Linked DNA regions of Cricetulus griseus. The protein of the gene in region 3 interacts with the protein of the main gene of each other region in a pairwise test. Links are inferred from orthologs where the notes say so. Each region holds a gene or a part of one and is shown on either strand. Other genes may lie near its edges.

Evidence for each region. The genes of interacting proteins can lie anywhere in the genome.
Region 1: the proteins of Ppp1cb (region 3) and Csrnp2 interact in binary tests that used the Homo sapiens proteins (3 or more experiments, as listed by UniProt). The two-hybrid records come from large-scale screens. The link is inferred for Cricetulus griseus from reciprocal best matches to the Homo sapiens genes PPP1CB and CSRNP2.
Region 2: the proteins of Ppp1cb (region 3) and Ppp1r7 interact in binary tests that used the Homo sapiens proteins (3 or more experiments, as listed by UniProt). The link is inferred for Cricetulus griseus from reciprocal best matches to the Homo sapiens genes PPP1CB and PPP1R7.

What each region holds. Positions count from the first base shown.
Region 1 is NC_048595.1:396,957,781-396,963,330, forward strand, and holds the start of Csrnp2 (cysteine/serine-rich nuclear protein 2), read right to left. Parts: upstream 3,644-5,550; 5' UTR 3,399-3,643; intron 1-3,398. UniProt on the Homo sapiens protein: Binds to the consensus sequence 5'-AGAGTG-3' and has transcriptional activator activity. May play a role in apoptosis.
Region 2 is NC_048595.1:444,810,983-444,816,273, reverse strand, and holds the start of Ppp1r7 (protein phosphatase 1 regulatory subunit 7), read right to left. Parts: upstream 3,644-5,291; 5' UTR 3,511-3,643; coding exon 3,459-3,510; intron 804-3,458; coding exon 675-803; intron 1-674. UniProt on the Homo sapiens protein: Regulatory subunit of protein phosphatase 1.
Region 3 is NC_048600.1:11,974,264-11,978,006, forward strand, and holds the end of Ppp1cb (serine/threonine-protein phosphatase PP1-beta catalytic subunit), read right to left. Parts: intron 2,928-3,743; coding exon 2,823-2,927; 3' UTR 1,133-2,822; downstream 1-1,132. UniProt on the Homo sapiens protein: Protein phosphatase that associates with over 200 regulatory proteins to form highly specific holoenzymes which dephosphorylate hundreds of biological targets.

The sequences.
Region 1 (5,550 bases), on a different chromosome or scaffold from region 3:
TATGACTGGAAGCAAATGTGTGCTCTTTCCTTGGGATCCTTTGCTTCCGGTAGTATGGATTTCCTTTGAATATTACTCTTTAAGTCTCACATGAACTTAGATCTGGGCCAAAACCCTCTTTATTACTAAAATTCTCCCTTACCTTAACCCAGCTTTCCTCAAGAGTACCCTTTCATCAGGTTACTTTGTGCCCTTGGCTGCTTGCTCTAAGCCTCTTGGTTCACATCTTCTCACTTCTGGGGGTGTGGTTTGGGTAATGACAGAGGTAGGTAGTAAAGAAAGGGGGAGTGGAAAGCTGTAAAACGTAAGGAAAAGTAATTTCCTTAAGCTCCAATAATCAGGTCTACATGTATAAATAATGTGTATACTGATCTATATGACCAAATTCCATTAAAGAGCTGGGGATGTAGCTCGGTAGTACAGTGGTTGCCCACCATGCTTGAAGCCTTCCCTGGCTTCAATTCCCAGCACCACAAAATAAACAAACTATTCATGGTGACACACAGGAAGATTCTTGAGACGCCACTGTTCTAGCTCTCTTCACCTTACTCAGGATGTTCCTGTAAAACTACCTGTTACTTAAAATGGTTTAAGTTTAGCTATGTAGCCCAGATTGGTCCCACAAGGCCCCAGCTTGTTTCTGGAGAAGCTCACAGTGGTCTTCTTGCTTCAGTCTCCCAAGTGCTGGGATCAGAGGTGTGTGTACCAAGTACAGCCCTTCAACACTGAAAACTTAAAATTCTTTTTTTCTTTTAAGATTTATTTTTATTTATTATGTATACAGTGTTCTGCCTACATGCCAGAAGAGGGCACCAGGTCTCATTACAGATGGTTGTGATCCACCATGTAGTTGCTGGGAATTGAACTCAGGACCTTGCTAGAGTAAGCAGTGCTCTTAACCTCTGAGCCATCTCTCCAGCCCCAAAACTTACATTTCTATCATCTCCTGGGGAACAATGTAAGTTTATATTTCAACTTGGCTCTCTAGTGTGAACCTGACCATGAACCTCCAACCTAGTTAGTCCCACACTGCCTTGAAGAACTCATGTAGTAGTATAGTAACCACTACAACAGGTTCTATTAAGAATCAGTCATTCCAGCCTGGCACGCCTTTAAGCCCAGCACTCAGGAGGCAGACGAAGGTGGATCTCCGTGAGTTCGAGGCCAGTCTGGTCTACAGAGTGAGTTCCAGGACAGCCAGGGCTGTTACACAGAGAAACCCTGTCTTGGAAAAAACCAAAGGAAAGAAAAAAAAGAATCGGTCATTCCCACTGGTTCAACTATTCCCTTAACCACTGATAAAAGATCAACATCTCAGTTCAGAAGATACTCTTTAATTCTCACCTTATCGAACATACATGTAATCCCAGCACTTACTTGCAGGAGGAGCAGGAGTTCAAGGCCATCCTTGGCTACAAAGCAAGTTTATTGCTAATCAAGGGCTACATGAAACCCTGTCTCAACCACTACCCCTCCACTTTATGAGTTATATCCAAGCACTCAAACCTATACAGAAATAACCAAGGTGAGACTAAAAACACAGGTCAGAACAATTAACTGTCTAAATACACATCTCAAACAACAATACTGGTATCTCTCTTTTTAGCTTTTACATGCTGGTGAAATGAAGAGTCAGCTGACACATTCTGATTACATGCCTTATGGTGTTAAGTGTTTCTAGCTGAACATTTCCCTAAGGTACACAATATGCTTCATAGCTACAGTGCATAGAAGACATTATACAAGCACCAATTAAAACCAATTAAACTAGTATTTCAGTACTAGGTCTAAGCTTTCTTCAGGCTGATAAGGACCTCAAACCTAAAATCCTGAATTATGTAAGAATAGCAAAAACCGGGTGTGGCAATGCAGGCCTCTAATCCCAACACTCTGGGGGCAGAGGCAGGTGAATCTCTGAGTTTGAGGTCAGCCTGCTCTACATAATGAGTCCCAAGACAGCCTATGCAGAGGGGCACTGCCTCAAAATAAATAAACAAATAAATAAAAGTGGGGCAGTTGGGGAAAAACTGTGGATGAAGAGTGTATTTGTAAAGTTTGGGTATGTGAGCATTTTTTTTTTTATCTGAAATGAGTCCAAAATCCTAAGACAAGGTTCATCTCACAGGAAAGTCTTTCCACTCAACTAGAACCCAATGCTCTGCTAAAGGTCAAGGAATCCCTTACCCTATCAGCCACCACTGGGGTAGAGGTAGGGGTAGAAAGCCCTACCCTACCCTGCTTTCCTTTTACAAGATACTGTGGGTGATTCTCAAATACTACAGTTTTATGGTTCCATCTGTCCTTGTGATCACCAAAACCATGAGATGGGAAAAGCCCTTGAGGCCCTCACTGAAAGCGCCTATTTAAGCTAGGTGTTTAAAGAAGGTCCCTTCACTGGGTTTCCCCACTGCTGGGTTTCCAGACTTTACTAACACTAGGTTAGAATCTGGCTTTCCACATGTAAGCCACATCCTAGGGAAGACACAAGATCTTTGTGGGAGACTTGGAACATGATGCTGCATTAACTCTCCTCTAAAGGATAGCGTCATTTATAACTGCCACATACCAACACCCGGGTTTTAGAGATTTGTAAGATTTAAAGCCACCAAAGAAAAGAAGAATGTGAATCGGCTGCGGTTTTACCATGAACTGAAAACTGGAGGACAAGGGGAACAGTGTTGTCTCTTGGGGAGAACTTCTAACCTTTCATACTGAAGAACAGTTTGTATGTCACATCGCCACTCTTAACCCTTCTAAAAAGATGAGCACTCAAATGGGGATGGATGGCAGAAGGCTGCATGTTAGGGCCTGAAAAAAAGATCAAACTAGCAACCAGGACAAGTGATGCTCTCATTTTTGCACACAACGCCAGAATAAAAAAAAAAAGGGGGGGGGAGGCATCAGGAACCAGAGCAGAAGGAACATTGTCAAGTCACCAGTCCCCTTAACACAGTTAAGGAACCCTTTGGCTCTCAACCCATTGATTCCCGCTAGCCTTCCCGCTCATTCCGATCGTCCGCAGTCCCTACAGTCTTCCACATCCTCCTGCCCGCTACTCACAAATTCCCAACCACTCCTCCCACATTTTCCTCCGGTCCCTCACTCCTCCCTTCCCGTCCCTCCATCCTACATCACTACCCACTCCATCCCAAAGTCAGCCGTCAGCCGCAATCCTGCCGGCTTCCGAAGCCGCCCGGCTGTCCCTGGAGCTAGCTAGATTGCAGCCGGGCCCGCGTCCCTGGCGCCCCTCGCTCCCACGCCTCTTCCCAGAGGCGCCCCGGCTCCCCGCCCCCCGCCCCGCACGGCTCTGCGCCGGAGCGCTGCCCCACGACAGCCCGAGAGCCGCTGCCCAGCGAGGAAAAGGCGGACCCCTCCGCCCCGCACCCCAGGCCCATTACCGGCCCCGCCGCGGCCGCTTCTCCCGTCACGGTCTCCGCCGCCCCCGCTGCCGCCGCAGCCCGGGTGCAAGGATGGAAGACGTAGGCGTGCCGGTCCGTTCCCGGGCCCGTCTCATAGATAGCTCCCGGGGCTGCAGGGTGTGTGGGCCGGCCGGCCGGCAGGCGGCGGGGGGCGGGTGGCTCTGCACTAGGGCACCCTGGGCAGCAAAGACCAGAACCGCCCCGGCTCCGGCTAACAATAGGCTCCGGCTGCAGCGCTCTGCCTCTTATAGGCGCCGGCGCGTCGCGGCCGGGGCCCGGGGCAGCTTGGGAAATGTAGTCTACACCCGGCCCACGCCCAGTGGCATGCCGGGAATCGGAGGTGGCCTGCGCCGCAAAGCCATATTCCGCCCGGGAAGCAGCTGCAAAGGGAGCATCCACAGCAGATTCCTGGAGAGAGGCATTAGAGCAGCTGCAGCATTTTGGAAGCAGAAGGCTGCCGACCCTCGGTTACACGTCGTCACTAACTAAACGAATTCTCCTATAAAGCCCTCCTTCTCCCCGCTCCAGGACCTCACGCCCATGCCTGAGGAACGTAATCCTCGTTCGTGGGTTGTTCCCATATGACTTGCTGCAGCTGGCCAAAATTAATCAAAGGAATTGCAGACAATGACCTATCTGCTTAAATGATGGATTCATTTCTTCTCCCCCACACCCCACAGGGTCTCATTATGTAGCTCTGGATACTCTAGAACTCACTATGTAGACCAGGCTGGCCTCAAATGCACAGAAATGCTCCTGCCTCCCTCCTGAGCGCTTGGATTAAAGGAGTGCCACCTTGTCTGCGGATCTCGCTATGTTCTTAAAAAAAAAAAAAAAAAAAAAAAAAAAGAAGAAAGAAAGAAAAGAAAATACTGTCATCTCTGATAATCATAGCTTTGCAACTCATCTTTAAAATGGACCAGATAAGGACCAAGAAGTTACTCTAACTTGTCAATTACCTAGAGCTATCCTTTCTTATCCTGTTTCTCCATTGACCTATAATGCAAGATCTAGGTCCACCTGTGGTGCCCCTCCCATAATCTCTCATTATTTTCTGCTATTCCCCTCATTTCCATATTGTGCTTTGATAAACTGGCCTTTCCTGTAGCTGCTTCAACAACCATACTTCTACCTCGAGTTTTTTGCCTTAACGGTCTTAAGTCAACCAGTCATATGCTGGTTCATTTACTAACTATTCAAATGTCTCCATGTTAGAGCTCGCTCTCTCTCTCTCTCTCTCTCTCTCTCTCTCTCTCTCTCTCTCTCTCTCTCCCTCCCTCCCTCCCTCCCTCCTCTCCTCTCCTCTCCTCTCCTCTCTCTCTCTTCCCCCTCTCTGTTTTGAATAAGGCCTATCTATATAGCTCAAGATGGCTTTGAATTCTTTTTTTTTTTTTTTCCCATCAAAATAGGGTTTCTCTTTTTAACAGCCCTGGCTGTCCTGGAACTCAATTTGTGGACTAGGCTGGCCTCGGGCTCACAGAGATACACTTGCCTCTGCCTCCGGAGTGCTGGGATTAAGGCATGCGCCACCATCATCACCAGACTCAGCTTTGAATTCTTAATGCTTCCTCCTCCTCCTCCTCCTCCTTTTCTTCTTCTTCTTCTTCTTCTTCTTCTTCTTCTTCTTCTTCTTCTTCCTTCTTCTTCTTCTTCTTCTTCTTCTTCTTCTTCTTCTTCTTCTTCTTCTTCTTCTTTTCTTCTTTCTTCCTCTTCTTCCTCGTTGTTTTTTGTTTTTTGAGACAGGGTTTCTCTGTGTAGCTTTGGAGCCTATCCTGGCACTCGCTCTGTAGATCAGACTGGCCTCGAACTTGCAGAGATCTGCCTGCCTCTGCCTCCCGAGTGCTGGGATTAAAGGCGTGCGCCACCAACGCCTGGCTCTGCTTCATCTTGAGTGCTGGAATCATAGCTATGATTTGAAACTTCTTCTCCTAGTCTCTTTCTTTTATTTCTCTGGCATTACTACTGGTTGAGTTTAGTTTTTAGTCTCCCATCAGTTGACTAGACTCCATGAGACTAAGGAGTTGTTTTGTGTACTTTAGTCTCAAAACCAAGTAAAAAAAAAGTCTGGTTCTTTGATGTTTAGGAGCACAGTAAATACTTATTGGCTACATGGATGGGTGGCAGAATTAAA
Region 2 (5,291 bases), on a different chromosome or scaffold from region 3:
TCTGTCGTTCCTTTCCATGTAAACTGATTTACTGAGCAAGCACATTAGCACAGGCCATTACTGAGGAGGGTATAAAACCATCACAGGAAGCTGTTTAGTTCCCAATGGAGTGATTTTCCAGTGAGTCTCAGGCCTATATTAACATCAAGGTGGTTGTGGGCATAACAAGCATACACCCGTAATCTGAACATTCAAGAGGCAGGCAGATCTCTGAGCTTGAGGCCAGCCTGGGCTATATAGTGAGATCCTGTCTCAAAAAAGCAATGTTGAGGTTGGATCAGAAATGATTTCTTATCTTTGTGGCAGGATACATAAGTATAGCAGTTAACCACCACATTATTCTCTTCAGATTTTGTTTTCTGAGTAAAGGATTTAAAAATCATTTTCTGTTTCCGCTTTGGTGCTAATCATCACCTAGTGCCAATGTCATCAGCTGTAGTATTGTCCCTTCAGCAGAAATGGATCTGCTGCACCCATAAATGTAAATCAGCCAGTTGATGAGGCAGTACCCCAGAGAGCCGGCTGCCCTCTGCCAGCATGCCCAGCTGCCCAATCTACTGGGACCTTTGAAGAACACAACTACTCCTACAAGGAGAAATCATGTCAAAGCAGCAGCAATCTTAATAGCACACTTCCCACTATATGGGGAGTTCAAGGTTAACTATGCCCAGTACCTTCTGGGTCCTCCGTCTCCTGTTCCACTCCATCCTTCAGACTCTGCTCACTGAGGTCTGTCACGATGCCACCGATGTGCCTCTTCCCTTCCTCATCACCTGATTCTTCAGATTCAACCCGCCTGTCGACTGAACCCATACACGTCAGTGAGAATTCACATCCACTTCATTCGACAATTTGAGGAATATAGAACAGATTAACACAAGTTGTAAGTCAGCAAGACTTCTTTCTGAAATAGTTAAATTCAGTTGACATGAACATTTGAATGTCTTCTATGTCCCAACATTACTTAAGATATAGAGACAGGAACCAGGAGGCCACGTGGGCACAATTGACATGCTGTCCTTTCCCTCCAAGAGCTTGTAAAGAACTGCCAAGTGTTCTAAAAGCCCCTGGACCTGATCTGGGATCAGGAACACTAATGGCACCACATAGTGAAGTACCTTCCAGGTGGCTCTCACATTTGACCTGATATCCACCACAAGAACAAGAGGGAACCACTGTGAACCTTCTGCCATATACCTACATCAACAACAACAACAAAAAGACCAAAACTGGTTCAAATTATAGGCCCACATTCTGAAAGCAATCAAGACTAGCTAAAATCAGACTGTGGGCAGGGAGGAGCTCCAATGAAAATGAGGATGTATCAAAAGTGCCAAATGCCCTAGGTAAACTGCTGATGTTAAAGGATCACAGGACAGAGTGTTAGCAATGCAAAGCTTTTTAGAGTAAACAAACAGGTTTTGAGTTACGAAGAAAGCAACAATGAAAGGTGGCTTTGGCAAATGATCTTCCTAAACCTCAGTATTCATATCTGTAGAAGAGTTTGTGGAGTACCTCCCCGCCGTCAGGACCAAAAGAGAAAGGGCACAAGAGTGGCTCGGGTGCATGACATGTAGAATGTATGCATTCCCAAGAGACACAGGACCAGCTGTGATCCAGGATTAGGGAAACTAGGTTCTGTTTGGTATTTGCATGGCCCCCAGGAGGACCCAGAAGACAGAAGGGACAGTTGGTGCAACCTGTGCATCTATCCTCAGGACAGCAGAAAGGTTCTAGAGCATGGGGCAGTGTGCAAGAAGGTGACTGTGTGGCCTAGGTATGACAGGCTAGCAAAAAGGCCATAAAATCAAGAGGAGGAAGGTTTGAGTTATGGTATTGGCTGTGATAGAGAAGGTGACAAAACAGGTAGCTCACTGAGCATGGTGGCACATTCCTTTAATCCCAGCACTCTAGCAAACTGATGTGGGTGAATCTCTATGAGTTCTAGGTCAGCCTGGTCTATAGCAAGCTCCAGGCCAGCCAAAGCTACATAGTGAGACCCTATCTTAAACAAACAAACAAAAAGCCAAAGCCAAGCCAAACCAAAAAGAAAAAAAGAAAAAAACAAAAAAACATCCAAACCCACAAAATACACCCACAAAAGACATGGGGCTCTGGAAACTAGGTGTCAGCTGGCAGTGACATGTGTGGGAGTGGCAGAGAGGAAAGCCTGGCTTTTGTATTTGCCCTTTACTGAAAAACAGAGGAAGAAGGGGAGGAGGGTACTGTAGGAGGGAAGGGGAGAGGAAGAAGCATTTTCTTGCTTAGAAAAGATTCAAAGGCAAAATAAAACTAAAAAAAAAAACCCCAAAACACAAAACAAACCAGTATGACTCCCTTTAAGACTCTCCAAGACCTTTTCTAGAAAGTCTCACCGTCTCTTCCCAACCCCCACCTCATATGACAGTTTATTTAGGTCAAATTCTTCCATACTCCTTTGCTTCTGACTGGGTTTCCATTCTGGAATGGTATTGGTCCTCCCCACCTGTCCCCAGTCTGGATGACTTCTAGTGATCCTTCACGGCCCAACTCAGGGCAGCATGGCCACTCCCAAACACACTGGACTTTTCTTCCACGCCCATGCCCCTTGCTCTGCAACCCTCTTCACTAGTGACTGCGTGACTGCTCTTCCAGAAGTAACCCTCACCGAAATACAGAGCAGTCTTTAAAAGGCATTCAAGGGTTCAGATCTGCCTGATGCTACAATGGGTATAGGAGTGTGTCTCTATATATGCACATATACGCACACACACACCTATATGTACACATAAATACACACGATTATGTATCTACACAACTGTGTACAAAACAAGCACATGTGATATATATATATATATATATATATATACATATATATATATATATATGTACTTATATATGTATATAATGACACAATCCAACAGTGAAAAAAAGGAAGAAAGTTGAATTTAGTCCTTTCAAGACTCTGAATATGTAGAAAACAAGGCACCGCCTGGTAAACGCAATCAGCGGACCTCCTTGTTACCCATCGCTCTGCCACAGGCTATTCGCTTCCAGAGCAGCCTCTTTCCATGCATGCCGCGCGAACAAACTATGGACTTGGCAGGTCCACACGCCCGAAACCTCGGTTTCCCAAGGAGCTGACAGAGGACAGTCCCCCTGCCCCCTCGCCTGTCAATCTCGGAGCTTCTAGATTAGGTTCCCACGGCCGCGGCTTCCTCGCCCGCCCCCCTTTGCTGGCCGAGCTCGCGCCACGTTGTTCCCGGGGCTCTGGTCCTTCCTGACCGCAGCCGCCCTCGGGCCGGGGCTCCCGGGCTCCGAGCCCCCCCCCCCCCGCCCGCCCCTTCCAGTCCAGCAGGCAGCTGTCAGAGAGCCGTGGCTGCGGCCGGAGGCTGGAGGCCGAGCTCCGATCCGGCAAGAGGCCGTGCCCGCCCAGCCCCCAGCTCGCCGCCTCCTGGTCGCCCGCAGGGGCCGCTCACCCTCCATCATCTCCTGCGACTGTTGCGGCCCGCCGTCGCGCTCCGCCGCCATATTGGCTGCTCTTCCCCTTTCCGGAATCTGTCGCCTCAGGCTAAGGGCCAATCAGAACTCCCCGCCCTGTCAGCCAGCCAATAGAAGCGAGCATAGAAGCGCGAGCTGACACGCTTGCGTGGAAGCGGTGCTTCATGGGAGTTGTAGTTCCCGCAAGCCCCGGCTCCACCTGAGCTAGGCGTTTGAGGCTTGCGTGGAGTCTAGGCGAGCGGGGCGAAAGCCGACTTCCCGGCAAAGCATCAGGCAGCATGGCAGACATCTCAAGCTTGCGGGTTCGCCCACGTTACCGTGCCGACTTCGGAGGCGCGGAGGAGGTACTGCGGCCAGGAGAGCGCTACAGGCCACAGGTGAGGCAGGTTAGCCTCGTATCCCCGACCTCGGGAGCCTCGCCGATGTGTGTCAGCACCGGGGGCCGGCGGCCCTGGGAGACCGCTGTGTTCCGCGCCTGCGCGTTGGTTTACTGGCGCCACGGGCCGCTTTTTTGTCACGGATGCTCGGAGCAGGAGGGAGGGGCCGCGGTCCGGCCGGGGAGGGCACGTTCGCCGCCTGCAGCCCACGATGAACCCCCGTGTCGTCCGCTTCCGCTCACCCTCCACAGAAAAGGCGGGCCGCGCGTCGCTCACCGTTCGCGGTCCGCCGTGGGCGTAAACGGCAGCCCCGTGGCGTGGGGCAGAGACGTCGGTCTCTTTTGGCTCCTCGGAGGCGCGGTAGGGCGAGCGTCCGGCGAGTCCCTAGCAACCGTTGCGCGCGCTCTGCAGCGCGCATTCACCGAGGCCCGCCCATAGCGTGTCTGATTGGTTCTTGTCCCCTGTCACTCTGCGCGAGTCGTTCTGCGATTGGGCGGTGGGCTGGCAGCGCGCGGGATCTTCACGTTGTGAATCCGTCGGGGGACGATCGCCGGGCTCAGGTGAGACGCCAGTGTTCGGAAGAGCTTTTGCGGGTGGCGGCCGGCCAGGCGAGGTCTCACGCTGTCGTGGAGCGGTTCTGGCCCTTCCCTCGCGCGCCGCACTCCCTCCGCCCGGCCCCGGCCCCGGGTGCTGGCGGGTTCCGGCCGTTTGACCCGCGCACAGGGAGCCGCCAGCTCCGGAGTGCCCCGGCTGAACTGCAAGCTTCCCTTTTTAGGTCAGGCTAGCGGGCCAGTGAGCTCTGGGGATTCACTGATCTTCACCCCCTATGCTGGGATTGCAGGTACGTGCATCCATGCCTGGCTGTTTATGTGATTAAAGATGAAAACGCAGGTCTTCATGTTTGCATAGCAAGAACTTGTCACACAGGGACCATCTCCACAGTTCCTGTATGACTTTTAAAATAGAAGTTTGTAGCATTGACAGTTTAGCTTGAGGAATGGTATTTTTTTTCTATAAATTAAGGTTTCATAGCATTGTATGCTGAAGTGATACAACTTCGAAAAAACAAAGCAAGGTTTGGTGACACTGGCAGTGTATTAGGGAGACATAATTAGGTGTCCTGAGTTTTGTTTATAGGTTGGTTCTAAAAGCAGAAAACCACAGTGTGATCCAATCCTTATTTGCTATAGCAGGAATTAGTGCATTTAGATACCTAGAGAAGTACACCTTTGACATTAAAACTGCTACTTGAAGGAAAGTCATGCTTTCTAAAAATTCCTATCTCATACATATCTTTATTTTGTTTGAGACAAGGTGGGGTTATATAGCTTTGAATGCTCTATGTAGCTACTTTTTCTTTTTCTTTTTCTTTTTTTGTTTTTTTGGGACAGGGTTTCACTATGTAGCCCTGGCTGTCCTGGAACTCATTTTGTA
Region 3 (3,743 bases):
ATAAATCATTTAAACATTTTCTTTTTATGTGTATAGGGGTTCTGCCTGCATGTCTGTCTATGTACCCACCTGTGCCTGGTGCCCAGCGAGGGCATATGGTAGCAGATCCCCTTGGCCAGGCACTACAGACAACTATGAACAACCTGTGAGTACTGAGAATTGAACCCAGGTCCTCTGCAACTGCTTGTAACTTTTCTTTTTTTTTAGATTTTATTTATTTATTATGTATACAACATTCTGCTTCTATGTATATCTGCACACCAGAAAAGGGCACCAGATCTCATAACGGATGGTTGTGAGCCACCATGTGGTTGCTGGAATTGAAGTCAGGACATCTGGAAGAGCAGTCGGTACTCTTAACCTCTGAGCCATCTCTCTAGCCCTTTGTTTTGTTTTGTTTTTGTTTGTTTTTCGAGACAGGGTTTTTCTGTGGCTTTGGAGGCTGTCCTGACTGCCTCAGTCTCTCGAGTGCTGGGATTAAAGGCGTGTGCCACCACTGCCCAGCTGTAACTTTTCATCTAGTGACTGGACACTGTAAAAAAAAATTTTTTTTTTTTCTCAGAAAGATCTTAATATGTAGACCTGACTTCATAGATCTTCATGTCTGCATCACAAATCTTGGGACTTAAGGCAGCCTGTATTCTATTTTTTGTCTTTGAGATTTTGCCAGCAAACTAGCATAATAATCTGTGATAGCTGCATATGTTCAGCTGTGATTACTGTATTATTGTTAGGAGCACATAATGTACTGAGTGCTTATCTATGAGAAGCTGTAGAGTAGTTTTTAAGAGATCTGAAATAATTTTTCTACATAGTATAATGTCTATCCTTTAATAACCAATACTAATTTGCTTACTTTTCCTTAGTTTTAATCTGAATGAATATTTATAAAAATCTGGTCTATAAGATACAAATTAACTAATATTGAGATTAAGGCTTACTTTCTTGAGCTACCTTTAAATATAGACAACTAAGAGATAACAACTAAATTCCTATTAGCAACTATTTGATTTATACCCCAGCAAAGTTAACAAATCACATTAGATAAATGTGTGTGTCATCTAATGAAACATGGCTACAACTATGTCAGTACATGTCTCATTGTAAAACAACACAGAATGATCACTCAGGCTTTGTATCAATTAGACAACTTTTACTAAATGAGAAAACTACATTTAAAATGTGCTTTAAAACAAAATTAGAAAAAAAAAAAGATGAATGCGTTTTAAAGAACTTTTGCACTGTGCTGAAAATCAAATGTTTCTTGCAGTAATACAATGTGCCAATCCATAAAATGTTAACAGAGTTCTCAGTTTAACATTTTCAAAGACAATATAAGGTTTCACATCTATGGTAACACATAAGAAGGGCATTATAAATATTATGTCCATCCCTATGAAGCTTACAAATTTGACATGTTCAATAAAGACTTTAGAATCACATCCAATAGTGTCACATCCAAAGAACCACAGATCTGTGCCTGTTGTTAAGTCTTCCTTCTAAAATCTGTGTTGACCTTGCTACTCCTTGACATTTGTTAATGCTAACCCTTAAAAAAAAAAGAGAACAGGAAAAGAAATGCTGCAATAAACTCTTGATCATGTACAGAAATTATTGCTACTATACTTCACTACAAAGCATGTCTATACATATTATGACCTTTGATTATGAAAACGCAGAGTAAAATCTTTAGTGACAAAGCCTTACAGTCAAAAACAACATTCACATGGCAATTATTAGACAGTGAAGCACCCGATACTCAGAGCTGACAAATGTCCCACTGACCAGCATTCATTTAAATACATCCTTCACATGGAGAGGGAAAGAAGAGCGCCAGCTTTCCAAGGCTTGTCAAAAAAAGGATTCTCATGTTCTGTGGATCTAAAAACAAACAAACAACAACAAAAACCCCAAAAAACAAAACCAATGCAGGTGAGGGTAATTACCAGAAAGTTAAGCATGCCAAAAGGTGTTTCGTGCGAATTAAAACCTAAAGCCAAGGTACCACATAATCACATTACCAACTAGTTTTGGGTAATACTATATGAGCCTTATCTTAAACAAAATGCTACTGCACAATAGAGCATCAATAAATTAAAAATTAGAGTGCACAAATCCAAATCAGTGGCAATTTTGTAAAAAGCGAAATATTCATTATCAGCTGCAAAGGTTGCCCAGTCAAACTGTTTGATTAAAATCATTGGATCAGATAGTTTGTATATTTTTAAAACCCATCAACCCTTAAAATTCCTTTTTGTTATTTTGAGGCATAAGTTTTCTTAGTAAGATCAAACAGTTACATAAGTAGCTAAGTGAAGAAAACTAATAGTTGGTGAATGTCTTTAAAGCTCTTCCCATATTTCACTTTTTAAAATGTTTAGGGAAAAACAGGAAAAGTAGTTGCCATTATTCTAGCAAAAACAAACAAAACAAAACAAGCCCAAAATAATTAAACAACCAAGCAACACTAAAACCACATTACACAGATGGAACGTCATGCTTTCATCGGGTAACTACCACAGCTAGTTTAACTGGGATGCTTGTCATCTTTAAAAAGTGTGATACCAGAAGATATAACTTCAATGGATACTTTTGAATTTGGATTTAACTTTGTTGAATATTATAACAGAGTATACTTATTACAATACAGTGTAGCACATCTTTCTATTAGAAAAAAATTTAAGCTCCTTTACCCGTCTCCTTAAGTTAAAGGTGTGACCTCATAAAGGGTGTCGAATGGCTGGATGGTTTTACAGTGCACACTTTATATTATGAAGTATGTCCTTAACAGATCTGATGCTTTCTTTACAGAATTCCTTTCTTCACCTTTTCTTCGGTGGATTAGCTGTTCGAGGTGGAGTGACAGGACGTCCAGAATTCAGTCCACCATACTGGTACTTAGCTTTCTTTTCAGATGGTTTCAATATCTTAAAATAAATAATTTATTAACAACATTATTCTTTCAATAAATGGCATCAATTGTTAAAGTCCAATGAAAACAGAAGCTCAGCAACATTGCACAAACATTTCTTAGATTTTAGGACTGGGTAAGTTTGTCAGAGCAACTCAGTGTGTGCTCAGCATGAAAAAGAGCCTGGGTCCTGCCTCCAGCACCACCCTTCTCCAAGGAGGGCACTTACTAGTTATCATTTCCTTTGTATTCTAATAACAATGGCTTGGATGCACAGTCTCAGTAACTAAGTTAAAATTTTCTTCATTAGTTCATCTCATTAGAGAGGAAAAAACACTGAGTCTGAGTCAAAAACTCCAGGTTCTCGACTTACTTCTGAACACGCACCCTGAGGAGTGGTGTAGTTGTTGGTGTAGGCAGATTAGCCTCATATTCATGGCAAGCCTTCTGCCCTAGCATTTTGAGTGCTGAGATTACAGGCATAAGCCACCACACAGAACTTTGACTTTATTTTCCCCGTTACAGGTAGATCTTACTTTAAATTTTTTTTATGAAGCCCGGTGGTGGCGCACACTTTTAATCCCAGTACTTGGGAGGCAGACACAGGTGGATCTTAGTGAGTTTGAGGCCAGCCTGGTCTACAAAGAGAGTTCCAAAACAGCCAGGGCTATAGAGAGAAACCCTGTCTTGAAAACCCAAAACTAAACAAAAACATGATTATTTTCCATATCATAAAGTTTAACTGCTTACAGTGTACAAGTTTTTAGTAATCTTATTTATTTAGTATGCTGTATATTTACTACAACTATCTGATTTTAGTAGTTTTTGTCCA